7 linked regions of the Macaca fascicularis genome follow. The protein of the gene in region 7 interacts with the protein of the main gene of each other region in a pairwise test. Links are inferred from orthologs where the notes say so. Each region holds a gene or a part of one and is shown on either strand. Other genes may lie near its edges. The genes, in order: EWSR1, TBC1D22B, RALYL, PSME3, MEAF6, NT5C2 and FXR2.

Region 1 (4,194 bases), on a different chromosome or scaffold from region 7:
GGCAAACTCCTATTTTACTCTTGGAAGCCCAGCTCAAATATCCCTTCCCCTCCTCTGGCCCCCCAACATCAGGGATCTTATCCTTAGGAGCACAGCTTGACCAGTCTGTCTCCCTAGGCAGGTGGTCTGAGCTCATGGCTCCTCTGATCAAACCCCACCTTTCCCAGGGTATTCGCAGCACACAACCAGTGCTTTATATATGTTCACTGAAAAAAGGACACTAGCTTGACTCCTGGTCCTGCTGAGGGATTTGAAGGTGAACCCTGCCCTTCGTAGACCCGGGTATCCAGCTAGGGGGCTGGGGTTAGAGGTCCAGAGAGGTGGGCAGGGCCAGCCTTGCCTGGAGGCAGGGTTTGGGGCCAAGACACCCACCGTAAACCTCCTCCTGTATCCTCACCTCACAACCATTCCCCAGCTCTGGGCGCCTTAGCAAGGGTGAAAGGCTTGCCCGTGGACACTCGGAACTGGGACTTGAGCCCCCTCGACCTCACTTTCTTCAATCTATGAAACGGGCAGTGCACCACCAGGCCCTGCCTACCTTACTGGGAAGCCGGGAGGGCAGAATGGAAAGACAAGGACGAAGATTCTTCCGGGTGGCGGATAGAGTAGGGGGTCCCAGGATCTGTCTGGTTCGAACTCAGCTGGGGACTTTGCAAAGATACTCAATTTCCTTGGACCTCAGTTTCCCCTTCTGTAGAAACAAGGGTATTGGATGAGGGATGATTAAAGGGCGTGCTCCACCTCGACCGTTACCGGGGACGGGGTCTCGGGGCCAGAAACGGCGTTCGAGGCCTCCCACCTAGCCGACCGGCCTCGGGGCCCTTCCCCGCTGGCCCGGGCCACGCGTCCCGGGTACTCACTGCAGAGCGCGCCCAGCAACCCCGAAAGGCCGGTCGGGGACCCGGGCTGGGAGTCGGGACTCTAGCTCCCGGGCGAGATCGGGGAACCCTGAATCCATTCCGCGCACACCCGGCCGCGTGACCCCGGCCGACCGGCTGGCGCGCCACCCATTCCCCGCGGCCCGCAGATTAGTCAGCAGTTGTTCTAGTCCGGGTCCCTTCCCCCAGCCCTCCCGCCGATCTCCGTCTGCCTGCAGGGCAGACTCTTCAGCGACGGTCCCTAGAGCCAGCGGACGGAACCATTCCAAACAACCTAGCCTCGTGAAGAGAGCCTCTCCGGTTTCACACTGAGACCCGCTCACCGGCGCTCTGGCCCCTTAGGTGCTATTTTGGCCCGAGTGTCACGTCGGGCGCTCTTTAGAGAGGATTGGGACAAGGGTTGCGCACGCGAAGAACGAGAAAGCGGTGGTTCATCCCTCCTGACCCCACCCCCGTGGCCTGGCCTGATGGTCGCGCCCGGGGTTGCGGGATTTGCGCCTGCGCAGTGCGGCGCCTAGAGGGAAAGCGAGAGGGAGACGGACGTTGAGAGAACGAGGAGGAAGGAGAGAAAATGGCGTCCACGGGTGAGTATGGTGGAACTGCGGTCGCGCTGGCGGTAGCCGGAACGCCCAAACTGGGGGTCGTTCGTCTCTGGGCTTGGCTGGGAAGACTGAGTGGAGTTGCCGAGAGGGGTTTGAGGCACCCGCCGCGACCCGACGAGCTCGGGGATCCGCGTTCCTCTCCCCTCCCCCCACCGGGCGGGCCGGTTCTGGAATCTTCCGGCGCCCGCGGCGCGCAGGGGGCTCGCTGCGGCGGTGGCGCGCGGGGCCCGCTTTGGCCTCCATTGTGTGGCGGTCCTCGCGCCCTGCGCTCCGGGCCTCCCGCCACGTGGGCGGGGCCTGCGGCCTTCGAGGCCCTGCGTGAAGCGGAGGATTTGGCCAGGCCTCGAGCCGGTCACTGTGAAACCGCCGGGGAGGCCGCAGGCTGCTATCCCTGTGAGGCCTCCCTCCGCGTTTTCAGGGTTTCCCGAGAAACCAGGGAAAAAAGCAAAGAAAGATACCGTGGATTTGTGGGCCGAGGGGTGCCGGCCTATGAGCGGGAGCCCCGTCATCTTTAAGGCCCAGTCGGCTGGGGCGTCTGGCGCTGCCGAACTGCCCCCTCGGCGTCTTCCAGCCCCAAGCCGAACTTCTGCCCTCTTGGGCTTTAGACAGAATGTGCTTCCCTCCTCCAGGGCCCCCAGTTTGCCACTTTTTTGGGTTTCTCTATTTTTATCGTTATTTATTAATTCACGCCCTCCCCTCCCCCAAAACCAATTAAGTGGCTTCCCAGGGCCCTTTTTCTGCAAACGCCGAGGGACATCCGTTGTATAATAAGACCAGCCTGGATCGAGAGACGAGAAATGCTACCAGGAAGGTATTTCTGGCCTCTCTGACCTAGGAGGAACAAAAGGCCGAGCCTGCATTTGAATTATATTTCAGCAGTGGTCTCGCACGTTTATTCGCCTGCGTTAGGCCGGCAGGCCTGTTGATTTCGTAGGTCGACAGAGGTGAGGGAAAAGAGGCCAGTAGAGGCGATCTTAAAGGCACTTGAAAGCAAGCCCCGGATGGGAACTCCTAAATGGGAGTAGAGTGGTCATTGATGGAAGGAGCATTTAAGAGTGTCGCCTAGCCACCACCTGCAGTTCGCAAGCTGTGGGTACACTAACCCGCGGAAATTGGCAGGGTGGAGCATTTTTGCCTCTGGGGGTATTCTCAGGCCACCTGATTCCAGGCCTTAGAGACAGTGGGAGAAGATGAGAGGGAAGACGGGAAAAGCTCTGGACCCTCCAGAGTTTTTAGAGTCCAGAATCCAGCAACTTAAGGACAGTTTAAGAATTCACCCCATCTGTGTGGTCAGTAAACAGGTAAGTGTTGGGTGTTCTTGCTGGGATACCAAAGAAGGCCTGTAGAAGAGAGGACTCTGAAATACCACAGCTAAACCTCCTGGTGGAAAGTGGTTTCCTAGGTTCCCTATCCACCCTCTTCTCCTCTGCAAAAGCCTGAAAAGGCATAACGTGTGCGTTGACATTTTTGCATGGCCGGACATGTCTTTTTTTCAGTCAACTTTGTTCAAACCTTGTTCACTAGTAACTACCATGTGCTTGTACTGTATTAGAATTACAGTTGTGGTTTCTGTTGACACAAAGTAAACACATTAGGCCTGGCTGGGGGGCCTTCAGAGAGTCACATAAGTAATCTGGGCCTTAGTTTCCTTTCCTGTAAAATACAGAAGTTAGGCTAGACCTGTTAAGCTTTTGAGCCTTTCTGACCTTCCTGCATAACCATTCCACAAATTTGTCCCATGCTGACTTCAACTCAGGTAGTGTGAAGCAACTTCCATAGTGACTGCTATAAAGTGTTAAAGCATTGCCTTGGGTTAATAATAATAGAGGTTTTCTCTCCTCGTGTGTATCTCATGTAGAAAAGACTCGCTGCAGTCTAGAACCCCCACCCCTCAATCACAGTGAAGTGATTTTTAGTGAAGTCTTTGGCTCACTTTTGGGGGTTAAAAACAAACACGGTTGTTGAATAATCTGACCAGTTTGTAATTGTATTAGGTTGGTGCAAAAGTAATTGTAGTTTTGCCATTTTAGTGACAAAAACCGCAATTACTTTTGCACCAACCTAATAGCTTGTTTGAGGTCCAGTGATGTTTGTGTGCTCTAGGAAGATAAACTTAAGTTCATGAAACAAATTTGCTACCTTCCATAGCCCACCAGTTAGTATAGGGCCGAATCCTTTGGTTTCTCACTGTTAAGAGGTCATTAGTTGTTCCATATCAGCTTTGCCAGTTTTATGTTTTACATAACTGCTATTGTGTAAAAGTCGTCTTGCAAACTGTACTTACATGTCGGTGATTTAGAATCATTTCTCAAAGACCTTAACAAAACGTGGATTAAAATATTTGATATTGAATGATTCATTGCTGTGTATATTTTGTATATGCCACGTGGAAGAAATGATTTGCATTTAGTTTTAATGTCACAGAGAGTATGACTTGTAGTGCTATTGAAAATGCCTTTAAGATTGCCATGAACAAATTATTTTTTCATTATAGGTAGCCTTTGGGCAGTTGATTTGATCCTCTTGGTGATTCAGGGTTTTGAGTTACGAGTGTGTACAAAGGAAAGAAAGTAGTCCACTAACGTATAGAGGGGTAGACAGATAAGCCAACGTGAAGAGATGGATTCAGCAAAGCTCTCTCAGGCCGCCCGAGGGATTGTGAGGCTGGCTTTGGATTGCGTGAAGTGGATGCAATAAAGAGCTGTCAATTGTTG
Region 2 (3,500 bases), on a different chromosome or scaffold from region 7:
ACAAATTAGGGCTGGGTGCGGTGGCTCACACCTGTAATCCCAGCACTTTGGGAGGCTGAGGTGGGTGGATCACCTGAGGTCAGGAGTTCGAGACCAGCCTGGCCAACATGGCAAAACCCTGTCTCTACTAAAATTACAAAAATTAGCTGGGTATGGTGGTGTGCGCCTGTAATCCCAGCTACCCAGGAGGCTGAGGCAGGAGAATTGGTGGAACCTGGGTGACAGAGACTGGTGTGAGCCGAGATTGCACCACTGCACTCCAGCCTAGGTGACAAAACAAGACTCCGTCTCAAAAAAAATAAACAAAATATTAGCCGGGCCTGGTGGCGCATGCCTATAATCCTAGCTACTCGGGAAGCTGAGAGGCAGGAGAATCACTTGAACCCAGGAGGCGGAGGCTGCAGTAAGCCAAGATCACGCCACTGCACTCCAGCCCGGACCACAAAGCAAGACTCCATCTCAAAAAAAAAAAAGTGGGGAAGGACCAAAAGCAGTTGGCCTTCAGTAACTGAAGCTGAAAGTTCTTACTTCTGTTACCTAAGACGTCACTATGTCCATTTCAATTCGGGGATTTCCCAATGCCCAGTCTAGCTATGCAAAAGAATGTGTCAGCAGCAGCAGCAGAGGCTACTTCAGTTCTTGAGGCTTGTTGTAGATAGCTGCCCACCTTTCACTTTCTGCAACCCCTGGCCTACTCTTCTCCTCCCTCCATGTGTGATGTTGGGAGCAGACCTTTCTGCAGACCATGAGGACCATTATGGGCAGACGGAAGACTCCCTGACAAGACTACTGATAGCTACAGCTCCTACAGACAGTCACAGAGGCCGAAACAGCACTGCAGCTGCCAGGAAGACATACGGATGTCATAGTCCAGAGGGACTGGACCACTGCTAAGTGAGCTTGTCTTTCCTCTCCATACTCGATAACTCTTACTACTCATAGCGTGGTTGGTGGACCAGCAGCAGCAGCATTGCAAGGAAGCACATTAGAACTTCAGGTTTTACCCGAGACCCGCTAAATCAGAATCTGCATTTTCTCATAATCTCTAGGTGAGATCGTATCAAAATCCTAGGTGATTTGTATGTACATTAAAGTTTGAGAAGCACCGCACTGACTAGTGCCAAAAAAGTCTGTCTATTTAAAATGGCTAAAATCAGAGCTGCTGAATGAAAAGAGGGGAAACAGTTTTGAGGATAAATTTAACTCCTAACCAACATACCACAGCCTGAGGACTTGGAAAGCCTGTACCCTGAGAGCACTACCATGAGACACACCTAAAGTGTATGACTGGTAAGCAAAGAGGCAGCAGGTGATGACTATACCTGTCTGTAGGTATCCTGGTGATGTTCCTCATTTCGAGAGTCATAATACTGTTCAATGAAGCCAAAATATTCCTCCCGCTTCCGCTGCAGGGTCAACTTTCTCCTCTCAGTGTTTGCTGGGAGATAGCCCTATAGACAAGACTGCTGGTCAGATAGGGAAAGACAATGGTTGGATAAATCCTTAATTTTTATTTTAATCTATGCAGTGGTTTGGAAACTATCAAGAAGGAAAACTGCCAAGGGTAAATCCCTTCTTGGTTCTGGCCACCCATTTTTTGCCCTCTTCTCATTGAATGAGATCCACATGTGAGCAGATGAAGCAAGGCCAGCTTTCCCAGGATTATTTACTCCCTTGGCCCTGTACTGTGCTGAAGCTTGAGCCACTGGTGAGCACTCCTCAGCTCCCAGAGCTGGCACAGTACAGGAGTGAATGTAGGTCAGTGGGAGGGAGCTGGACCCAAGTCATGGCCTTGGAGGGCTGCGTGTGTCCAGGGCCATACTTCTGAGAAATGCAGGGATATAGCAACCTCTACAGCACATCTCAGCAGTGTGCCAAGTAAGTTGGTGCCAGTTACATTCTTTTCCAGTGTAACTTTCAGAATTACCAGCTTAGGAAGCAGCTGAATGGAATCCGTGACATAACAGCTACAACACTCAGACAGAACTTCTGGCAGCAGCCCCCAGCCTAGCCAAAGCTCCAGGCCAACTTTCATTCTTATCCTTGGTCTAGATCCCACTTTCATTCTTATATTTTCTGTTCCCCTTCCGTTCTCACCAAATCTACTCTGAATAGCATTCAAACTGATTAGAAGTGGCAGAGGCAATGATTACATGGTTGCAAGAGTAGAGGTGGGGCGAGCAGTCAGGAGACAGACCCTTCTTCTTGAAAACATTTATGTAATGCATTCCACAGTGAGTGCCTGGAGAGCAGGGACTGTGGTTTATTCATTTTTGTATCTGCTCAGAGCATCTGGCACTATGCCTGGCAAACAGCAGACCCTCAATCAATCCTCACTAGATGAATGAATGAATTTTACAGGCTCAGGAAACCCAAGTGTTCCTATCGTAGCGGCTGGCACAGTGCTCTGTACTTGGTGAAAGCAGGACTAGTAAGGCTTCCAAGGGAGGCCCATTTATCAACTCTTTACAGATCAAAGTGGGTTTCAACTTTTGGTTACTCCAACTGAAACAGGAGTAAAGCACAGGGAATGTTTGAGCTTGCTCAAAGCAAGTGCTGGGGTCACCCTATCTCACTCACTCTATTCTTCTTCCTCGCTGTTAATAACGTGAGACCATGACTATTGGTACAAGTCTGTGTACCTCTACATGTGTGTGAATAAACTCTCAAGAAAGTGTTTCTTTATGCACAGAAATAGGACTACAGTCCCATAGTTCTGTCATATCCAGTAGGACTAGAGAAGTCTATGGAGTTAAGACCAATGTGTCCAGACTAACCTCATCAGGCAAGAAGGGCTGTGTGAGGCTCACACTTCTCTACACAGTAGGTAGAACTCACCGACAGGAGTCTCCAGGTTACAGGTCGAACCTCCCTGGGAACCCCTGGCCAGCTACACTTCCTCAGTTCATCTGTAAACAGAAAACAGCCTTGTTAGGTGAACTCTCCACAAATGCTCTAAAGCAAACCGCAACCAGCACTGCCTGATGTCTCCTTCCATTCATGTAAGACCACCACCACCACTTGCTACCCATAAGCACAGGGAAAAGCCCAAAACAGCCCTGAGCAGCCAAGTGCCAAGGACATGGCCTTGCAGTAGCAGTCCTGTCAGCTCAGAGATGAAAGTTAGAGGGGAAGAGAAAGACCAGTGGGTGTAGATTTCAGCAAGAGTCACCATGAGATAGAGGAGATCAAAGTCAGAATAGTTGCACTAGGGTCTACAGGTCACAGAAACCAGTCCCACCTAATTTGGTCCATAATCTCTAGTAACATATGTCTGACTTAATACCTGCATGTCACTGCAATGGGCACCAGGTCAGGAGAAGCTAGAAAAGTAAAAGAAGGAAGAATAAAGAGCAGTAGCTTCCAGGTCTCTGAGAATTCCAGTCACCAAAAGCTCCTACCTTGCCTGGGCTCACAGGGACTCACCTAAGTCAGTGTTGTGGCTGGAGAGAAGCTGACGGAATTTTTCTAGGCGGGTTTTCTCCCGGACAGTCATTGGG
Region 3 (4,095 bases), on a different chromosome or scaffold from region 7:
AAACGCGCTTCATTCCTTCTTCCACCGCCATACTGTATTTTATACTAAATCTCATTTTTATTACAACATTTTACTCCCGCTCGGTGAGTACCTTCTCAGTGGCATTCTTGTCCTATTCTTTTTTTTGTCCTTTTTTTTTGTTTTTTGTTTTTTGTTTTTGTTTTTGTTTTTTTCTTTTTTTCCACTTCTTTGATTATTGTTTATATTTGGGAAAGCTGGAGGAGCATGATTTTGAGCCTTTTCCTGAATCCAAGTTTTTCTAGCATGCGATCGTTCTGTAGACAAGGCGCTGTGTCTCGGAGTCCGCGGCGACCGTGCCCGCTGGGAGCGTCTCCCAAGTCCAGCAAAATGTGCAACTGGTTTTATGGAAAAAGCGATGTGAAGTATGGTGCCTATTTTTTTCCTTTGTAAAAATAAAAAGCATGTTTCTAACTCTTTTTTTTGCATACTCTTTTTCTGATAACATTTTTGTATAGGTGGGATTTTACGGCAGTGTTTACAAGTTTGTGGTCTTGCAATACTGGTGCAAACCACTGAGCAAAGACATTAATTTTATATTTTTGTGCCCTTTTTGGAAGCCGGTGAGAACAAATTCGTTTTTTTCCCTCCTGTTTTTGATACCCATTGATAACATGAAACTTTTCTTACAGCTGGTGACTGGGATCATTTTTAAGCAAAATACTTTTTTCCTCCTTTAAATTAACTATGACTTTTGCACATTTGACTTTTTTAAAAAAACCGAGATAATTTTATGATAGATATCCTGATATCTATATCTATATTGTCCCTTATTTCTCCCCCTTCCCTCCCCGTAAATCAATTTTCAAATGATGGCAGTGGAAGGTTTTTCTGGAAAAAAAAAAAAAAAAAAAAAAAAGAAGTGCGGTTTGGTTTCCTTGTCAACGGAGGATGAAGTGAACAGCTGAGCAGCTCGCAGAGAGCAGGTACTTGGTCCCCTTGGAGGCGTTTCCCGGGTGTGCAGTGGCAACACTGGTCCTAGCAAAGAAATGTGTGAGTGTGAGTGTGTGTGTGTGTGTGTGTGTCTGTGTTTGCGCGCGCGTATCTCCGGGCAGTGTCCGCGCCGGAGGTGGGGAGAGCCGCGCCGGGAGCCAGGGAAAACCAAAGTCAGTTCCCGGCTTCAGGATCGTTTTCTAGATGTGCACAAAATACAGTCCCCTCCCCCCACCCCCCACCGTGAGCTGCGCCCAGGTCATCTCCCGGCTGGGCGGGTGGTGTCTGCGCTGCGGTCGGCGCCGGCCGGGCACTAGGTGGCCAGCGGGCCCTGTAAGTTCTCCGAGGGCCACTTGCACAGCAGGAGGGGCGAGGGCCGTGTACGTGGCGCGGGCCGTCGGGCCGGCTAGAGGGGACCCCCAGAGCACCCGGGAGATGGGGGAAGAAGCGGCAGAGACCGCATCTTCCGGAGGGACTGGCTCCAGGCCACGGGGGCCGGAGCTCGAGACATTTCCAGAGCCTTGAGGATGGCACCGGCCCCCGCACGCTCAACTCCTGCTCCTCCTCTTCGCAATGAGTAAACGACGCAGTAGGTCTTTCCCAGCCTATTTTGCTTTTCCAAAGGGCTTTGCTTTCTTAGTGGTGCTGTCTTTGGATCTTTTCTTTATGCCTGTTGTGTTGCGTTGGTTTTAAGTGCCTGCTGGTGTCGTCTTCCAGGGAATGGGGAAATAGTTTCTTATAAGATGGTCACTTGGGTTTAATGTTGAGGACGACGCTGTTAGTTTGCAGTAATGACCCTACAGCTGTAAGGTATAAAAATGCCCCTTATTTAAATTTTATTAGAGGGAGAGTTTTCCCTCTTTTTAACCACCTGATACTGGCTCTAAAGGTTTTCCCCTGAGAACTGTGTACAGGGCAGGAGTGAGGGGTTGGTGATAGAGGTGATGATTTCGTGTGTTGGTAGCATTGAAATACTCAGTGTTGAATGTATTCTATTTTATGATTATCCTGTTACATGTTTTCAATATAATTTAGCATTACTTTTCAGAGATGGACCAGTTCGCAATAAAAAGCCTTTTCTGTATTTAACACTGTGACAGAATCTGCTGGAAATTTTTCTGTCCAAATAAATTTCGTAAAGGCATACATCTTAAAATCTGGAGAGTCACCATTATTTAAATACTTTGATTTTCTTACCTTTCCCCCCCTTAAATGAAAAGCTTAGCTTTAAATTATCATGTGTATGTAGTTTGGATTCTGTAAAATAAACATAAGGCAAATGAAACAACTTTTTACCTCTCGGATGAAGTTTTCTTCTGGGTAACTACAGAAATAAAAACTGACTCCAACATACAGAGGGGCCCATGACAAAGGGGTTTATAACATACACTGGCTTTTTCAAGCAAATATTTCACTGTAACCTCAGTTTGTGGAATGAAAAGTTTTATGCCTTATTTTTTACTCTTTGTGGTCAAAAAGTAAGGAGTGCAAAGGGCCATTTATCTGTAGAAGATTAAAAGTTAGTGTAATATCTGGAAAGCTATATATATTTTTTATTCACAACTCATGCAAGTATCTCAAAAGTCTTTGGACATTTCATTGTATGTGAGGTATTTTGTTCTCACAGTAGCTTTTCCCTGTGAAGGAAATCCTCTTGCGTTTATATAAAGAAGATAGTTTATGTCACTGTCTGTGGACACCATATTTGATATCTTGATGTGTATAGTTCTAAGATTTGAAGCCAATATGATGGCACTAAGCCTGAAATTAGGATTTTCTTATTTTGTATAGTGAGCTAATTACTAAAATATATGGTTCAAACAGCTAACATATGGTTCAAATAGCTAACATAAAACATTTGAAAAGCCATTTGCAACATTCTGTGATTTTAAAAATCATTTAAATTATAACAATGTATGTACATAGAAGTGCTTATTTATTAAAAAGCAAGACAATTTGTGTGTATAATATATTTTTGTATGTTTTATGTGTTGTATGTCGTTTAGTTCTTTTAAGAGAGAGAGAGACAGAGCAAGCAAGCAAGAAAGAGCTTGAGTGATCGAACCTGCATTTTCATTAAGAGTATCAGTTGCTGCCCTAAGGTAGAGGTAGTTTGTGTCTTAAGATTGGACAAAACACTAGCTGTATTGTATGATCTTTCCCAATGAGATTGAAACCATTAATGGGACCAAAGACGATTTTAATGTGAGGACAGAGAGGTAGTTGGGCTTTAATTTCTGTAACTTAAGACCGTTCTAAGAACCTTTGGTTATCTATGTTTTCATTTATTTAAGATTCATTTTTGATTATATTGTATACTTGTATTACATTTGTGCCTATTACATTCAAAATTTTCAAATTTCTTCCTGTGTGAATCATACTTGGAATTCTACAACTCTTAAACTGGCCACCTGTTTAGTTTTTGATTTAAAATTGTTGAAGGTAGTATCCTACATTTAGCACCGCCTACTGGCTTCTCGTGGAAAAAATACATTTTTTCATTCGCCAAGAAACCCACAGGGATTTACATCAATTTAATTGTGCAGATCTTTTCAACTGCTTACTGAGAGAGAAGGAGGGAAAAAAAGTTTGTATGCTGTAAGGAGAGAGGGTTTCCAGGGTAAAGGTAGGGACCGAGAGAAAGAAGACCCACAAATTAAATTGGCATTGGATCACTATCTGACCTCAAACATTTTACTGTCTCAACTGTGACAAAGAAATAATCACAAAATGAAAACCTATTAAATTTTCTAGGACTTTCTATGGGATAATAAAATGTGGGTATTGTTTAAAATCTTGGATTACTAAATTAATTTTACAGTGTCTTTCTCAATCGATATAAAGAAAGAAAGTTCTAGTTGGAATTCTGTCTTGAGTGTGTGGTCTGTCGAATAATATTTAAATGAATAACTTTTCATCATTGAAGATTAACAATTAATTATTTTTATATGTATTTTTCATGGACATAAACAATCACGTAGCACCCTAATTTTTTTCTTAACATGCATCAAATAGTCACACTGTGTTGTTGTATATACAAGGGGGAAAAGTTCCAAACATACAATTATAAAGACACATCCTTAGCCATAATAGATGCGTTACCTTTCTTAAAAATGATAGTTGGTTTATTTTCTCTAATTTGTA
Region 4 (4,175 bases), about 56 Mb from region 7:
GCGAGACTGTCTCAAAAAAACAAACAAACAAAAAAAAAAGGTTCTTGGGAGGCGAGGCGCGGTGGCTCATGCCTGTAATCCCAGCACTTTGGGAGGCCAAGGCACGTAGATTGCTTGAGCCCAGGAGCTCGAGACCAGCCTGGGCAACACAGGGAAACCCTGTCCCCACAAACAAATACAAAAACTAGCTGGACGTGATGGCACATGTGCCTGTAGTCCCAGCTACCTGGGAGGACGAGGTAGGAGGATCGCTTGAGTCGAGGAGTTTGAGGTTGCAGTGACCTGAGATTGTGCCACTGCACTCCAACCTGGGTGACAGAGTGAGACTCTGTCCCCCCTCAGAAAAAGAAAGAAAAGGTTCTTGCCACAAAGCAAATTATGCTGTAGTTGGGAAGACCAATCTTTCCAGAAATACAACATATTAAGTATTACAAGGAATAGGAAAAAAGAACCTATCAAAGCAGGGAAGATAATTAAGGGAATACGTACAAATCTTCTGGTTCCACAAAGGAACACATTATTCAGTCAACAACCATGCATTCAGCAATTGCTATGGACCAGGATCAACACTAGGTGCTGGGAATACAAAGATTAAGATAGTTCCTGCCGACCGACTACGGTGGCTCACGCCTGTAATCCCAGCACTTTGGGAGGCTGAGGCGGGTGGATCACCTGAGGTCAGGAGTTCGAGATCAGTCTGGACAACATGGTGAAACCCTGTCTCCACTAAAAATTTAAAAATTGGCTGGGCTTGGTGGCGCGCATCTGTAATCTCAGCTACATGGAGGCTGAGGTGGGAGAATCACTTGAAACCGGGAGGGGGAGGTTGCAGGAAGCTGAGATCGCGCAACTGCACCCCAGCCTAGGAAACAGAGTGAGACTGTCTCAAAAAAAAAAAAAAAAAAAAAAAAAGGTAGTTCTTGCCTTCCAGACGTACAAGTTCTGTCAATGAGGCGGTACTACAGACAACAATTCAGTATCATCAGTGTTATAGCAGCATGCGGACACATGACTGATAAGGACTAGCTGTTAAAGATGTACAGCAAAACAGCGATTGCAGTTACACAGCAAGAACTTCATATCCCATAACACTTATCAAGACACAGAAACAAAGTTAAGTCTTGTTCAGAACCATGGGAAAAACCAGGTAACCTGATGAAGCTAGTTCTCTCCTTTTTTTTTTTTTGAGACAGAGTCTCGCTCTGTTGCCCAGGCTGGAGTGCAGTGTCATTATCTCGGCTCACTATAAGCTCCGCCTCCTGGGTTCATGCCACTCTCCTGCCTCAGCCTCCCGAGTAGCTGGGACTACAGGCGCCCACAACCACGCCCAGCTAATTTTTTGTATTTTTAGTAGAGATGGGGTTTCACCATGTTAGCAAGGATGGTCTCCATCTCCTGACCTCGTGATCCAACCACCTGAGTCTCCCAAAGTGCTGGGATTACAGGTGTGAGCCACCGCGCCTGGCCAAAGCTAGTTCTCTTTTATTTGAAACTCACTCTAACACTGAGAGTAGCATTAGCACATTCACTTCACATCGTAAATGAAACTCAGGGTCTAAAAGGAATATACCGGAGGCCTCGTGCAGTGACTCATGCCTGTAATCCCAGCATTTTGGGAGGCTGAGGCGGGTGGATTACTTGAGCTCAGTGGTTTGAGACCAGCCTCGGCAACATGGTGAAACCCTGTCTCTACAAAAAATACAAAAATCAGCTGGGCATGGTGGCACACTCCTGTAGTATCAGCTACTTGGCGGGCTGAGGAGGGAGGGTCACTTAAGTTTGGGAGGTCCAGGCTGCAGTGAGCAGTGCTCACGCCACTACACTCCAGCTTGGGCAAAAAAAAGTGACGCCCTTTCTCAAAAATAAATAAATAAATAAGAAATAAAACAACTATACTAGAGTCATCATGTCTGTAACAGTCCTAGTTCCCAGATCCAAATCCCACTGTTGCCTCTGTACATCTTAAACTGACAAGGAAACAGAGGACAGAGGACCTACTGCTCAAGAACACAAAGATAAATATAGGACACTTACACCATCCAGTCCATCATGGCTATTGGTGAGAAGAATGGGGTCAGGGACTGGGAGATTCATGTCAGAGTGGATCTGAGTTAGGTCATGGATGTTTAAGATTGGTTCCTGAAAGACACCCACCCCAAAACATTAATCTTTTCAAGCTGAACAAAGAAGTATTTGATTGAAGAGCAAGAAATGAAAGCGCTTTTACAGTTTAAAAAAATAAAAAGAAGAATCAACACACAATTAGTTCCAGTTGACAGTAATACCAGGGCCAAAAAAATAGGGGAATTTGAGGAAAGAAAAGGGTCTCTCACCTTCAGAAAACTATCAAGTTCTAACAACTTCTTTGGGAAAAAATTTGCCACCAAGTCTTCTGCCTAAGGAGGAGGGAAAATACAGCTGAATTAATATCTGTGGGAAGGTCTCTCTCTCTCTCTCTACAGATATCTCCTCTTTGGGAAACTCTCAACCAACACTCATTTTTCTATTTATTTCACTCACCTCACTTGTGATGCGTTCCCTGAAAGAATCAACCTAAAATTAACAAAGAGAGCAATTCAGTACCTGGGGACAGAGGTAAGAGCAGGATAGAGAATCCCAAATCCAACTGTCTTTCCCTCACCTTGTAACTGTAATAAGAAGCTGAGAGGCCCCCAGACTGCAAATACTTTATTTTTTTGAGGATCCATTTTTCCATCTCAGGAGAAGAAAGCAGGGCTTTGAGGGCAGCACCTGCCTGTCTCCTCTCTCCTCTCCCCTCCCTCCCTCCTGTGTCTGAAGCTGTCTGAATTTGATAAGCAGACAAAAGACAGGTAGTTAGGAAAGATGTGAGCTCACAAACGTGCCAACCCCCACCCAGACCTGGCCTATGATACCAGGCAGGCCAGCCACCAAGGGCAGGGGCAGTGTCCAGGGACGTTGTTGGGCTGGGGGATTTCCAGCTGTCACTGGCCTAAAGCCCTGAGTCCAACACGTGTCCGCGGAGGTGTCCCCGGGACTCTCCATCATCAGACGCGGTACAGAAAGCCATCCTATATTTTCCCCTCCCGCGAAGCCGACCCCGGGAGTTGGGGGCTGGGCTGAGTTGAGCGGAAGCTCAGAGCTGGTATCCCCAGGGAGACAAAGACGACATGGGGAGTAGGAAGCCAGTCAGACTGCTGGGGGATCAAAGCGAGGGGCAAAAAGGCCGGACCGGTGCCGCTACCTTGAGCTTCACTTCCTGATCCACCTTCAGCAACGAGGCCATGGCCGGGCCGGGCCGTGTCCGATCCGCTGGACACCGGAGGCGCTGTGGACTCCAGGGAGGGGGCCGGAGGGACCTGAGAAATCTCGGCTGACCTCGGGACCCGGCCGCCCTCGCTGGCTCACTCACTGCTCGCTTGCTCCCTCCCTCCGTGCCGTCCGCCCGCCCGCCGGCAGCCTGCTGCCTGGTCGCTCTCTCGCTCGCCCTCCCGGCTTTCGCCGCTCACGCCGGAAACTGCGTCACAGCCAATCGCCGAGACTCCTGCGAGGCTGTGCACGTGCGCTGCGCAGCCGCGATGAGACTCGGGTTTGGATGCTCCTCCCGTTGGGTAGGGGTGAAGTAAAAAGGAGAGCTGTGGGGAATGGTGCGCTGAAAACTGAGCCTCCGAAAGACTCGGAAACGGTGCGACCCTCTCTGTTGGCCCGGAACTCGCCTTCACCGAAGGGACCTCAGTCGCTGCAGTCCCGGGGACAGCGCCGTCGCGCCCCAGTGACGTAGGCTCGGGGAAGTCGGGGACCCGGGTACTGGGTTCGGGGTGTAGTCCCTGATTCCCGCTGCCTCTGCCCGTTTGCCAGGCTCAAGTGTTTAGGCTAGAGCGAAAAACACAAGTGCGGTTGTACCAAGCTTTCCTGGTACATTTCCCTGCCAACTGACTGTCGTAAGCTTCCGGACCTCAAAGATCAACTACCTAATGGGCAAATTGATGCCCAGAGTAGGGCAAGACTTGTCCAAGGCGTTTCCAGTACATCCTGAGCCAGGACCCAGATCTCCTAACTTCTATGGCAGTGCTGTATCTATTTGCCTAATGGAAGCTTAAGACTATACCTCTTCATACACCCATTCATTCGATCTCTCTCTCGACATTGGATATTTCATTCAATAAAATGGGCCAGGGCACTGTCTCAGATTCTAG
Region 5 (4,015 bases), on a different chromosome or scaffold from region 7:
GTTATATAAAACACACCTATTGGCCGGGCGCGGTGGCTCAAGCCTGTAATCCCAGCACTTTGGGAGGCCGAGGCGGGCGGATCACAAGGTCAGGAGATCGAGACCACAGTGAAACCCCGTCTCTACTAAAAATACAAAAAATTAGCCAGGCGCGGTGGCGGGCGCCTGTAGTCCCAGCTACTCAGGAGGCTGAGGCAGGAGAATGGCGGGAACCCGGGAGGCGGAGCTTGCAGTGAGCCGAGATCGCGCCACTGCACTCCAGCCTGGGCAACAGCGTGAGACTCCGTCTCAAAAAAAAAAAAAAAAAAAAAAAAAAAAAAAAAAAAAAAACAACACACCTATTGGGGAAAACTAGATGAAGACTACAAAAGACCATTCTGCCAACTCCCTATGAATCTATAATTATTTCACAATTTAAAAACGTGAAATGTAAATACAGGTGTGTGCTTATATTAATATTATAGAGAGTAAGAGAAAGCAAATGTCACAACACATTAACAATCTGAATACAGGTAGGACAGTATCAAGTGTTCATATACTATTCTTCCCATTTTTCTATAACTTGAAGATAATCCAAAAGTTTAGAAATTTTTTAAAAATATTACTAAGCAAGCAGTGGTACAGCTGGCACACAGGTATGGCAAAAATTGTGAGGGTCAGTTGGGCGTGGTGGCTCACCCCTTTAATTCCAACACTTTGAGAACCTGAGGCAGGAGGACTGCTTGAAACCAGGAGTTCCAGGCCTGCCTGGGCAACAAAGTGAGACCCCACTTCTACAAAAAAAAAAAAATGTTTTTAATTAGTCAGGTGCAGTATTGTGTGCCTGTAGTCCCAGCTAATTGAGAGGCTGAGGTGGGAGGATCATTTCAGCCCGGGAGTTTGAGGCTGCAGTGAGCTAAGATTGTGCTACTGCACTCCAGCCTGGACAACAGCATGAGACCCTGTCTCTTAGAAAAAAGAAAAGTGGCCAGGCATGGTGGCTCACACCTATAATCCCAGCACTTTGGGAGGCCAAGGCAGCAGATCACCTGAGGTCAGGAGTTCAAGACCAGCTGGGCCAACATGGAGAAACCTCGTCTCTACTAAAAATAAAAAAATTAGCCAGCCATGGTGGCATGCGCCTGTAATCCCAGCTACTCAGGAGGAAAAAGAAAAAAAGAAAAGAAAAATACTGTGAGGGTAGAACTCACGACTGATTAAAATGTGTAAAAAATTTAATAGAGTGATGTTGTATAAAGATATTGTTATATGCTGTATTTAAGCCTCACACAACCCTGTGCCAAAGGCCCAACTTTTGCTATTTTACAGACGTGAGCTTTGTCTAAGATTATTCAGTGAGGCAGTGCCTGAGCCAGAGTCCAAGAGTTCAAGTCCAGACCACACCACCACTTTACTACTGCCTCTAGCAAACTTGCTACTAAGAGCCTACAGTCCTACAAACACACACAATAGGAACACAATAGGAACACTACAGGCTTTCGACACTCACTTTTGGTTGGTCAGATACCGATCCCAGCCACGAATAATATTGCCATACATCTGAGTGTCTTCCAGGTAGCTTCCCTCAAAAGCATAGATCTGTCGCTCCAAGTTTGCCAGTGTTTCCTGAGAGATGAAAAACAAGGACATGAATAATGCCTTTTAAATGCAAACACTTAAGTCTGACCAAAATGAAATCCTGATATTAGATTTGTAAACGCAAGCTTGTCCACACTAAATCACCCTGTGGAGAGATGGATGATATGGGGAGGAGCAGCCGTTTAGGACTAAGACAGTCTAGACCTTTGGGTGTGATGGACCTCTGAATGTATAAAGCATGTCCCCAGAAAAATACACACACACGCGAAATTTTGCATATACTTTAGAGGATTCACGGAAACCAGGAGTCAAGAACCCAGGCTAACGCAGAACTTGTGCGATATCCACTCCCACGCACAAAAGGTATCGCTACCAGGAGAGGGAAGGGTGAGCAGCCTTTCAGCGTCAACTCGCTCCCCTCCCCGCAGGCTCAGAGAGGCCGCCGGCACCGGGCTGCCAGTTGCTATGGAAACCTGGAAGGGCAGCTTCAGGTGAGAGGGGCCTCCGGGGTGCCCAAGCCGAGACGTGAGGGCAGGAAGAGCTTAGCCACCAGGGTGCATTGGGCCTTGGGTGCCTGTCACAATTCCGAATTCTCCAGAATGTGTTCTTCTCCCTCGCCTGTCACCTTCTAGATATTCCCAAACACATCACAACCCTGTCTATCAAAAGCCTCCATTCAACGGATCTACTACTAGTACCAAAAAGAACACGCTCCCCACCATCCTCCAAAGTCCAGACAGGGTGACTCGGTCCCCCTCCCACACTAGCCTCCTACCCCACCCCCACCCCGCAAAGATCACGGACTCGCCCGCCTCGCCCTTCCTAGCGCCCTCTCCCCGAGTCCCGAGCCCCGGCACCGTCCTCCCTCCACGCCCCCTCCTGCGGCTGCCGCTGCCCCTCCCCCTCCCGCGCTCCCAGCTCCCTCCCGGCTCCGGATTCGCACAGCCGGGAAGCTGAACCGCCGGCGGGCCGCAGAATGCGCACCCGGCCTCAGGCCGCCGAGCACACAGCCCGCCGCGCCGCGCCCCCGGAGTAACGAACGGCCTGGCGCAGCCGGGCTTGGGGCCTGGAGGCGGGGCGGGCGCGGAGCCCCATGCCGGGCAACCCCGGTCCTAGCCCCTCACCGCCAACTCCTGCTTCCGCTTCACGAGCTCCGCCAGCTCCCGCCGGGTGTCCGGGATCTGCGGCGGCGCCGCCTTGTTGTGCATCGCCATGTTGGGCTGAGGCGGGCGGCGGCGGCGCGAGGTTGGGGGCGGTCCCTGCGCCGCCAGGGGGCGCCCCCCGCACTGCGCCTGCGCGCGCGGCTTCCGGAGACGCGTGCAGCGCCGCGCAGAGGTGCTCTGCGGCCGGGACTCTGGACGATCCTTCTCGGAGAGGTCCAGAGAGTCGGCTTCTGCTCTGCCCTTTACGCCGTTTCCTGCCCCTCGGCTGGCCGCGGGCTTTACAGACGGCACAAATCTACCGTGTCCAAAGCCTAGCTCGTCCTCAGGCCTCCGAGTCTCCTGTGCGTCCCGCCTCAGTCCACTTCAGTGAATGACTTTCACTATCCACCGCAATTGCCTGCGTCAGAAACCCGGTTTTCCTCACTCTGCACCCGGAGTAAAACGCGATACCAGGTCAAGCCCTGTGGATTCGACTCCGGAAGAGCTCGCGAATCCATTTGCTTGTGCCTGCGCCTTTTGCCACCTTCTTAGTTCATTCAGGCCCTCCCTGTTTGGGGCTACGTTATTCCAACAGCTTCTTTATTTCCACCTTTAGCCCCATTTAATCCACTATCCACAGTGGTGCCGGAATCTTCCAGAAACAAATGTTATCACTCCCCTGTTTAAAGCCTTTCAGTGGCTTCCCATTTTCCCATTGCCCTTTGGAGAAACAAGTATGTGTAGTGGTTAAGGGCACAAAACTGGAGCGAGAACTACCTTGTTCAAAATCCTATCGCTACATCGATAAAGTGTGCCCCTTTGGGTAAATAACCAAATCTCAACTCCCTCATCTGTAAAATGAAAGCAGTGATAGAATCTACTTAATACAGTTGCTGTGAGGAGTAAATCAGCTAATGTGTGTAAGGGGTTTGGCAGGTGCCAATGACTCTGCAAGTACGAATTCGCTTTTATCGTTAAGTCCAAGGTGTAGACGTTGTTTTCACTTGGCCCCTGTTGATTTCTCCCTCCTCAGCTCTCCATCTTTCACTCTTCTGCAATTTCGCTATCATAAGTCTAAGTGGGATATTTTTTCTTTTTGTTTTGTTTCTTGCTTGGAAGTCTTTGGATTTCTATAATCTGTGGGTTGGTATCTTCCACCAGTTTTGGGAAATCGCAGTCATTTTTCTTCAGATGCCTGTCTCATATTCTCTCTCTTTCTGGAACTCGAACATAAGAAACCTTTATTTTTAACCTACCGTCTATATTTTCTATCTTTTTGTCCCTCTGTGCTGCAT
Region 6 (3,500 bases), on a different chromosome or scaffold from region 7:
AGGGAGGATGCAGTGAGCCGAGATTGTGCCACTGCACTCCAGCCTGGCAACAGAGCGAGACTCCACCTCAAAAAAAAAAAGTACTGTGTCTATGTATTATAAGCCATATCCTTTGGTAAGCAGACAAGGTATAAAGAATAAATAACTGTATTCTACACATTAAATTGTTTCATCTACTACTAAACTACAATAACTTATTTTACAGCACTTTAATATATGAAAGTGTGCTCAGCTGAAATTTGCTAAAAGGAGCTCAAAAGAGCTAGGAAGAGATGCAAATCAATACCCAAGGGACAGATTAAGAGAGAGGTAGATCAGCATCAGAGCTCAAGTATACAAACTAACATGGAACTATTAGGAGATTTTACTGGTTACATTCTCAGAATGATGGCTCTAGGTATACACTGGGTTTTGGCTCATAGTGTAAGCTAATCACAATACTAATAATGAGTTATGCCCATTAAAATCATGACTATCCTGAAATGGAACCCTGGCATTAACCTTTTAAGACCAACCTGAAAGACACTGCACCCTGTGATTTCAGGTGTTCTCAAAACGAATTTGCTGATGTTTATTCACTAAAGTCTAGGACTAAAATTCTGTAAGTATGTGACTAAGTTGCAAGGAGTATTCCTTAAACCTAAGTGCAGCCCTTCTGCAGAAATGAAGACTTCTTTGCTAAATATCAAGGTTAAGTGCTGTCTTGGCAAAAACTTAGCAACAACTAATACAAAATCTAGAAGTTGTCAAGAATATACACACATTTTCTGTTTAAATCAAATATCTTCCACAACCTGAAAATTCCTTTCACTGCCACACAAACTTAATTCTGCATAGAACTTCTTGGGCATAAAATTATTCTGATCCCATCCTACTAAATATCACATGAATATCCCTTTTATTTCTGTCTACTAAGTATTCAAGTTGTGGACTCTAAATTAGCAATTTGATTTTAAATTCTACTAGCTCCTGGATTCTAATGTTAATGAAGATTAGACAATAGGCTTAAAAAGCAGGACTTTTCTGGGTGGGTTCTGACCAATTCTTTCCCCCTTAATATTCCAGAATGATTAAATGCATTCATTATTACTAAAGCAATGGTCTACTGAGTCACATACCTTGGGGCCATGTGGGAAGTCAAACAGGTAAGTCATAATTTTCTGGAAAAAAAAAAAAAAATTTACCATAAGGTCCATATACTACTTTTGCAAAAGGCATATAACCTAAAGAAATTACAAGCTCTTCACAAAACATGTCTTCTTCAACATAGGACTCACCACATTCTTGTTTCCTCTAAATTTTATGAAATCATGGCAGTGGAAGCCAGAAATTAATGCTTTACCATATACCAAAAAGAAAAAAAGGCTTCTGACATTCTCAGGGAGGATACATACTTCCTCTGGAAGATGTTTTTGAACACACATTTGGAGGTAAGGAGCATATGAGGTAGGGGTACAGAGAAAACTAATGACTCACACAGAGATAACCTATCACTTTGGCTTTGCTACTACCATCCCTAGACCAACTAAGTCAACAAACCAATGGTTTATATAAGACTATTTACTACAAATCACCAGGTGTCTAAATCAAGTTTATATGTACAGCAAATTGGGGGAAGTGGAACTTCTTGCTAGTACTATAAACTTGTGTCTCAGCAAAGTAAGATGAAGTTAAGGAATTAGATCAGTTTTTCCACATGCTTTAATCATGGGAAAAAATTGTTTTTAAGAGGTAGTAAATTTTGGGCTGGGCGCGGTGGCTCACGCCTGTAATCCCGCCACTATGGGAGGCCAAGGTGGGTGGATGACGAAGTCAGAAGTTCAAGACCAGCCTGTCCAAGATGGTAAAACCCCATCTCTACTAAAAATACAAAAAAAAATTAGCCGGGCGCAGTGGCAGGCACCTATTGTAATCCCAGCTACTTGGGAGGCTGAGGCAGGAGAATCACTTGAACCCAGAAGGCAGAGGCTGCAGTGAGCCGAGATCACACCACTGCGCCCCAGCCTGCGTGACAGAGTGAGACTCTGTCTCACAAAAAAAAAAAAAAAAGATGTAGTAAATTTTGATGGCTAAGAGCCCAAACATCTGTGCACCATCTATTGCTGCAGGTCTTCCAACAGCAGGGAAGTCATATATACACATCAATAAGGGATGCGACTGCTCAAGTTTATAGAAATGATGCTCCAAGGAGACACAAAAGCCATTTTAATCTTTACAAATATTTTAAATAACCCCAAGATTAAAATTTTCAAGTAGCCAATCATAATCCGTGAAAATGGTTAAAATAAATTTCTAGAAAAATTTAAGAACCACTGTTATTATCCTGTATATTTTTGCCTTTTTACTCTTTGAAAATGAGAAGGCAAGAAACTACTTTCACTTAATAAACTTCTATCCTCCTCATTGTCTTCACAGTTCTTTAGGCCAAAATAATTCCACTGAATAAATAAACAAATATAAACATTAAGCACTTACATCTGTATATTTATAGTCACTGTTGGTAGCAAGAAATACTTTCCCTACTTCCTTCATCCGGCTCAGAAGCAAAGGCAGTTTTCCCTGAAATGTAATTGGATAATGAGTGAAACATAAACACATTTTTATCTTTATACTTTGGAGTTGTCATATACTGGATTTCTGTCCACAATAGGAATGGGGGAACCTTTTAAGGGTTAGCTGATTTCGGAATTTTGCACTTAAAATCCCACATTATCACTACAAATGAATAAAGTGTTAACATATGTAGTATACACAGTGTATATAACAGATTTACATGTAAAATTATACACATATTTATCAGGGTTATATGGCTGTTAACAACATATATCTACCTTCCTCATGATGTCTGCCTCAGGAAAGAGTTTAAATTAACTTAAATTAACTTGAGATTTCTTGAAGTATGTGAGGTATGTTAGAGATCAGGAGAAGCTGACTTAACATGCTCTACATAGAGAGTATCAGATATGGCTTTCAGTGTGTATACTATGGTTTTATAAAACACCTTGCAGAATGAAATGACATGTGCAGATGCTACCTAGAAATACCCACACCCATGTGCGCTTAAATGAGGAAATTCTAACCCCTCACGTGCCTGGAAAGAAAAATACCTTTTCCTTCTCTCATAGCAAATAGATTCATTCCTTCACTCAAATTCTCCCGGACCCTCCCCATTCAGTGTTCTTTCTTGAAATAAGGGAGGTGGGTGAAAATAGGAGGCACAAAAACTGAAAACAAGAAATCTTTACCACAGTACTTTGAGAAAATACTGTATTCTGCTACTTTTACTCTGTAGGAAAAGAAAGAAGTATGTCATCTTGGGGCACTATGTGTGTTTAATTTTTATTCTAAAACAGTTCTAGACTTATAGAAAAGCTGTGAAAAGTAGAGTTCCCATATATTCTTCCTCCAGTTTCCCTTAATATTAACATCTTACATAGCCACAGTACAATTATCAAAAGTATGAAATTAACATTGGTACAATACTATTAACCACAAATTTT
Region 7 (3,976 bases):
GACTTTCTGCTGGACACTTATATGTAGAACAGAAAACGTGTCCCTTCCCAGCCATCTCATACAGTTCATTTGAACTGGATACCAATCTTTCCCAGCTGTGCAGGGCTCCTGTGCTTCCTAGAACAAAGCAAACATCATATCTTGATCTTGGACTCAACTTAAGAATGACTTTTCTTGGAACTCAGAATTTTGGGGTGGTAAGGACCCAGATGAAGGAAAAGATACCGAGGGAAACAGGGAGGGCCACTTTAGGAGGCGTATTTCAACAAAGGTAGTGCAAGTTTGGGGAAAAGGATATGAGAGATAAATGTGCTCTATCAAAAGCAGAAAGGAATTAGAGACTTTTGCCAAAAAAAACAGAAATGCTATGGAGGCAGGCTAGAAGAAAAAGTCCCAAGAGTTAGGCAAGTATGCAGAAAATGACAAAAGAGATCAGCAGGGAGCTTCCTTCAGCTAGACAGGGAATTAGGTGATCCCTGGGGATTACACAGGAATACAGAAGTATTAGGAGAAAAAGCCAAAAACTTGAATTGAGACAGTAAGTTAGACATGGGTACCCAAAGTCACCGCACAGAAAGAAATCTGATGAGGGAAGTAAGGCAAAAATGGGTAAGTATGAAGAGTAAGTAAAAAATGACTACAATGGCGCGGTGGCTCACGCCTGTAATCCCAGCACTTTGGGAGGCTGAGGCGGGCGGATCACAAGGTCAGGAGATCAAGACCATCCTGGCTAACACGGTGAAACCTCGTCTCTACTAAAAATACAAAAAACTAGCCGGGCGTGGTGGTGTGTGCCTGTAGTCACAGCTACTCAGGAGGCTGAGACAGGACAATGGCGTAAACCTGGGAGGCGGAGCTTGCAGTGAGCCCAGATCGTGCCACTGCACTCCAGCCTGGGTGACAGAGCCAGACTCCGTCTCAAAAAAAAAAAAAAAGACTACAATGAACTTAGCAACTGAAGTAGAGGCAGAAACCACCCAAGGGAAATTACAAGACCCTCTACAGTTACAGAAAATATGACTTAGGGAAGGAGTCAAAGAAAGACACTTCCAAGGGCATGAGAAACTAGAGAGGGCTACTGTGGGGGGGAAAGGCCTGAGGGGAACAGAAGGAAAGGGGGAAGGGGGATCTACTCTTAACAAGTAATGCCATGGGAAGGTATCTCTTCTACAGCTCCCCAAGGTGAAATCAAAGAATGAGACAGAAATCAGGAGAGTCTCTGGGACAATTCCAGGCATCAAATCCAAAAGAGGTTCAGAATAGCAACAGTCGAAGAAAAACTCTTGGGAGGCAAGAAAGGGTTCTCTCTGGCTTAATCCAAATGGGAAAAAAATGTCCTAGAAAATGGATTCAGAGCAGATAAGGAAGGTGGTATTATAAGGAGTTCTAAGGAACCAAATCCTGGGCAAAGGGGGAGGTCAAATAAGGAAAGGTCTTTGAAAGATGATCCCTTCTTCCAAAAAAGGTTGTCAGATTCCCGAACTGGGATAGTTGGCCAAGAGTCTTCAAGAAGTGGAAATCTTAAGAAAAACAGAAGGGAACCCCATGAGCTTCCTTTTAGAGATCCTTTTAGAGATCATGACTATGAAGCTCACATGCCTCAAGACGAAGAAACTCTAAGAATGACCTGAAGGTATCTGAGGTCTAAGTGAGACCTCAAATCCATTCTGAGTAGAATGGTAGACCAGTGGGCCTTGAGATCAAGGTGTGGTGGGGTGAAAGACTTGCGAAAGATGCCACCTTATGGCTGGCTGAGAAGCAACTTGACTGATCCAACCCAGGGTTCCTGAGGTCAAAGATGCCAAACGTCGTAAATGGATCTGACCATTTCTCCTTGGCTTGGGAACCGGAATATAAGCTGAAAGTGGGGTGAGTGTTCCAGAGTCAGTAGGCAGAGGCCTCTCTGAGGAAGATGAAAGGATCCGATATGGGACAGAGGGGGCCTTCCCAAGGGGACCGTGCAGAAGAAAGACAATTCTCCATGTGCCTGGACCGTGGGGAAGATGTGATTAAGGTCTAAGGTATGTCTTCCATCAGACAACGGAAACAGTCAATTAGAAGCTGGGTAAAGGGGTCTCTCCTGGGGAGCGGGGAGCGCCAAGCCAGGGACAATAATGGCCTGAAGTTCATTCTCCCTGAGATGGGGGTAGAAGCAGGTGCATTAAAGGGCTCAAAAATAAAAGGAACAGGTTCACTCCAAGAGGTCTCTCAGGGAAGGCTGCGGGTGGGAGCAAGGGTCTAAGATTCTAAGGGCCAGGACTCAGCTCCAGAAGCTCGATCCCGCCCCACGCGTTCCTGCTCCGGCCGGGGGAGGGGGCTAAGGACCGGCGTCCCCAGTCGGCGCGCCGTCTCACCTTGTAGAAGGCCCCGTTGGAGCCGCGCACCTCGACGGGCAGTCCCGGCTCCACATCCCCCCCAGAGGCCAGGCCGCCCATGGCGCCGCCACCGCCTCCGACTCCCCCGGCGGCGGCTGCAGCAGCAGTCTGAGTGCGGGCCGGGCCAGGCCCCCGGCGTCTCCCCGGAGGAGGAGCCGGAGGGGGAGCCGCGGGGGGCGGGAGCCGGGCCGGCCCCACGGCGGCCCTGCCACAGCCAACGAGCAGGGGGCCGGGGCCGGGCCGCTCCCCGTCCGCCGCCGCCGCCTTGGTCTCCGCCACCGTGAGGGAAACGGCCGCCGCCGCCGCTGCCTTCGTCACCTCAGCTTCCGCCTGCCGCCGCCCCCGCTGCTGCCTCAGTCCCGGGACCCGCTGCTGCCGCTGCCGCTCCACAGCCTCCACCTCCCCCTGCCACCGCCTCCTACTGCGCAGGCGCACCGGGCACCCGCCCGCTGCGCGCGGGGCCCCGAGGGCCACGGCGCAGGCGTCAAGGTTAGAGCCCCAGCTAGCGCTAGCCAGCGCATCGGGGCTTCCACATTCCCTTTCACTCTCTCACGCCCCCTCCTGGTCGCTTGCTCGCGCTTGCGCAGAACAAAATTAGCCTTCTTTCTCCACCGCCCCACCGCCCAGCAGCCCCGTCTCTTCCTTTCCGCGCCCCACAACCCTGAGAACCAACCAATCAGAGGGAGGGAGGGGCCGGGCTCGCTCAGTCCGATTGGGCGGCGGCCGCACAGTCACACAGCGCTCAGGCCACACCCACGCCGCCGCCGCTGGCCCCACCGGGCTCGGACAAGTTAGGGATGGGCATGCGCCTGAACGACTGCTTGGTCACTTTCCCCACCTTTGTCTTTCTTGGTGCGCACGCTCCAAAAAAAAAAAGAAGAGAAGTCGCCGCAAGGAAAAAGGTGCTCGGTGCGCACGCGCTGAGCTTTACTGTCTGCGCGCATGCATCGCCTATCTTTTAAGAATCTGTAACTGTGCTGTAGTAGATTTAAGTCATAGCTCTTGCCTTGAAGAGATTGTGATACAATGAAAGTTTTGGCCAGGCGCGGTGGCTCACGCCTGTAATGCCAGCACTCTGGGAGGCCAAGGCGGGTGGATCACCTGAGGTCCTCGGATCACCTGAGGTCAGGAGTTCGAGACCAGCGTGGCCAATATGGTGAACCACCCCACCCCCGCATCTAATAAAACATAAAAATTAGTCGGGCGTGGTAGCACGCGCCTGTAATCCCAGATACTCGGGAGGCTGAGGCAGGAGAATCACTTGAACCTGGGAGGTAGAAGTTACAGAGAGCCGAGATCGCGCCATTGCACTCCAGCCTGGGCGACAGAGCAAGCCTCCGTCTCAAAAAAAAAAAGAAAGAAACGAAAGAAAGTTTTAAGAATAGTAGAATAGTTTCGGCCGGGGGCGCTGTGGCTCACTCCTGTAATCCCAGCACTTTAGGAGGCCCAGGCGTGTGGATCACTTGAGCCCCCAAGTTCGAGACCAGCCTCAACAGGGCGAAACCCCGTTTCTATTAAAACTACAAAAATTAGGCCGGGCGCGGTGGCTCACGCCTGTAATCCCAGCGCTTTGGGAGGCCGAGATCACTGGCGGGCGGATC

Evidence for each region.
Region 1: the proteins of FXR2 (region 7) and EWSR1 interact in a two-hybrid assay, tested with the Homo sapiens proteins (2 studies listed by BioGRID and IntAct). The link is inferred for Macaca fascicularis from reciprocal best matches to the Homo sapiens genes FXR2 and EWSR1.
Region 2: the proteins of FXR2 (region 7) and TBC1D22B interact in binary tests that used the Homo sapiens proteins (3 or more experiments, as listed by UniProt). The link is inferred for Macaca fascicularis from reciprocal best matches to the Homo sapiens genes FXR2 and TBC1D22B.
Region 3: the proteins of FXR2 (region 7) and RALYL interact in a two-hybrid assay, tested with the Homo sapiens proteins (2 studies listed by BioGRID and IntAct). The link is inferred for Macaca fascicularis from reciprocal best matches to the Homo sapiens genes FXR2 and RALYL.
Region 4: the proteins of FXR2 (region 7) and PSME3 interact in a two-hybrid assay, tested with the Homo sapiens proteins (2 studies listed by BioGRID and IntAct). The link is inferred for Macaca fascicularis from reciprocal best matches to the Homo sapiens genes FXR2 and PSME3.
Region 5: the proteins of FXR2 (region 7) and MEAF6 interact in binary tests that used the Homo sapiens proteins (3 or more experiments, as listed by UniProt). The two-hybrid records come from large-scale screens. The link is inferred for Macaca fascicularis from reciprocal best matches to the Homo sapiens genes FXR2 and MEAF6.
Region 6: the proteins of FXR2 (region 7) and NT5C2 interact in binary tests that used the Homo sapiens proteins (3 or more experiments, as listed by UniProt). The two-hybrid records come from large-scale screens. The link is inferred for Macaca fascicularis from reciprocal best matches to the Homo sapiens genes FXR2 and NT5C2.

Annotation. Positions count from the first base shown.
Region 1 is NC_088384.1:22,402,433-22,406,626, reverse strand, and holds the start of EWSR1 (RNA-binding protein EWS), read left to right. Parts: upstream 1-1,394; 5' UTR 1,395-1,449; coding exon 1,450-1,462; intron 1,463-4,194. UniProt on the Homo sapiens protein: Binds to ssRNA containing the consensus sequence 5'-AGGUAA-3'. Might normally function as a transcriptional repressor. EWS-fusion-proteins (EFPS) may play a role in the tumorigenic process.
Region 2 is NC_088378.1:134,372,258-134,375,757, forward strand, and holds part of TBC1D22B (TBC1 domain family member 22B), read right to left. Parts: coding exon 3,427-3,500; intron 2,910-3,426; coding exon 2,839-2,909; intron 1,452-2,838; coding exon 1,323-1,451; intron 1-1,322. UniProt on the Homo sapiens protein: May act as a GTPase-activating protein for Rab family protein(s).
Region 3 is NC_088382.1:94,051,792-94,055,886, forward strand, and holds the start of RALYL (RNA-binding Raly-like protein), read left to right. Parts: upstream 1-1,295; 5' UTR 1,296-1,524; coding exon 1,525-1,540; intron 1,541-4,095.
Region 4 is NC_088390.1:63,889,481-63,893,655, reverse strand, and holds the start of PSME3 (proteasome activator complex subunit 3), read right to left. Parts: upstream 2,801-4,175; 5' UTR 2,717-2,800; coding exon 2,642-2,716; intron 2,554-2,641; coding exon 2,521-2,553; intron 2,397-2,520; coding exon 2,334-2,396; intron 2,140-2,333; coding exon 2,035-2,139; intron 1-2,034. UniProt on the Homo sapiens protein: Subunit of the 11S REG-gamma (also called PA28-gamma) proteasome regulator, a doughnut-shaped homoheptamer which associates with the proteasome. 11S REG-gamma activates the trypsin-like catalytic subunit of the proteasome but inhibits the chymotrypsin-like and postglutamyl-preferring (PGPH) subunits.
Region 5 is NC_088375.1:197,413,592-197,417,606, reverse strand, and holds the start of MEAF6 (chromatin modification-related protein MEAF6), read right to left. Parts: upstream 2,801-4,015; 5' UTR 2,793-2,800; coding exon 2,703-2,792; intron 1,606-2,702; coding exon 1,490-1,605; intron 1-1,489.
Region 6 is NC_088383.1:112,133,141-112,136,640, forward strand, and holds part of NT5C2 (cytosolic purine 5'-nucleotidase), read right to left. Parts: intron 2,560-3,500; coding exon 2,476-2,559; intron 1,161-2,475; coding exon 1,119-1,160; intron 1-1,118. UniProt on the Homo sapiens protein: Broad specificity cytosolic 5'-nucleotidase that catalyzes the dephosphorylation of 6-hydroxypurine nucleoside 5'-monophosphates.
Region 7 is NC_088390.1:7,664,414-7,668,389, forward strand, and holds the start of FXR2 (RNA-binding protein FXR2), read right to left. Parts: upstream 2,801-3,976; 5' UTR 2,436-2,800; coding exon 2,355-2,435; intron 1-2,354. UniProt on the Homo sapiens protein: mRNA-binding protein that acts as a regulator of mRNAs translation and/or stability, and which is required for adult hippocampal neurogenesis. Specifically binds to AU-rich elements (AREs) in the 3'-UTR of target mRNAs.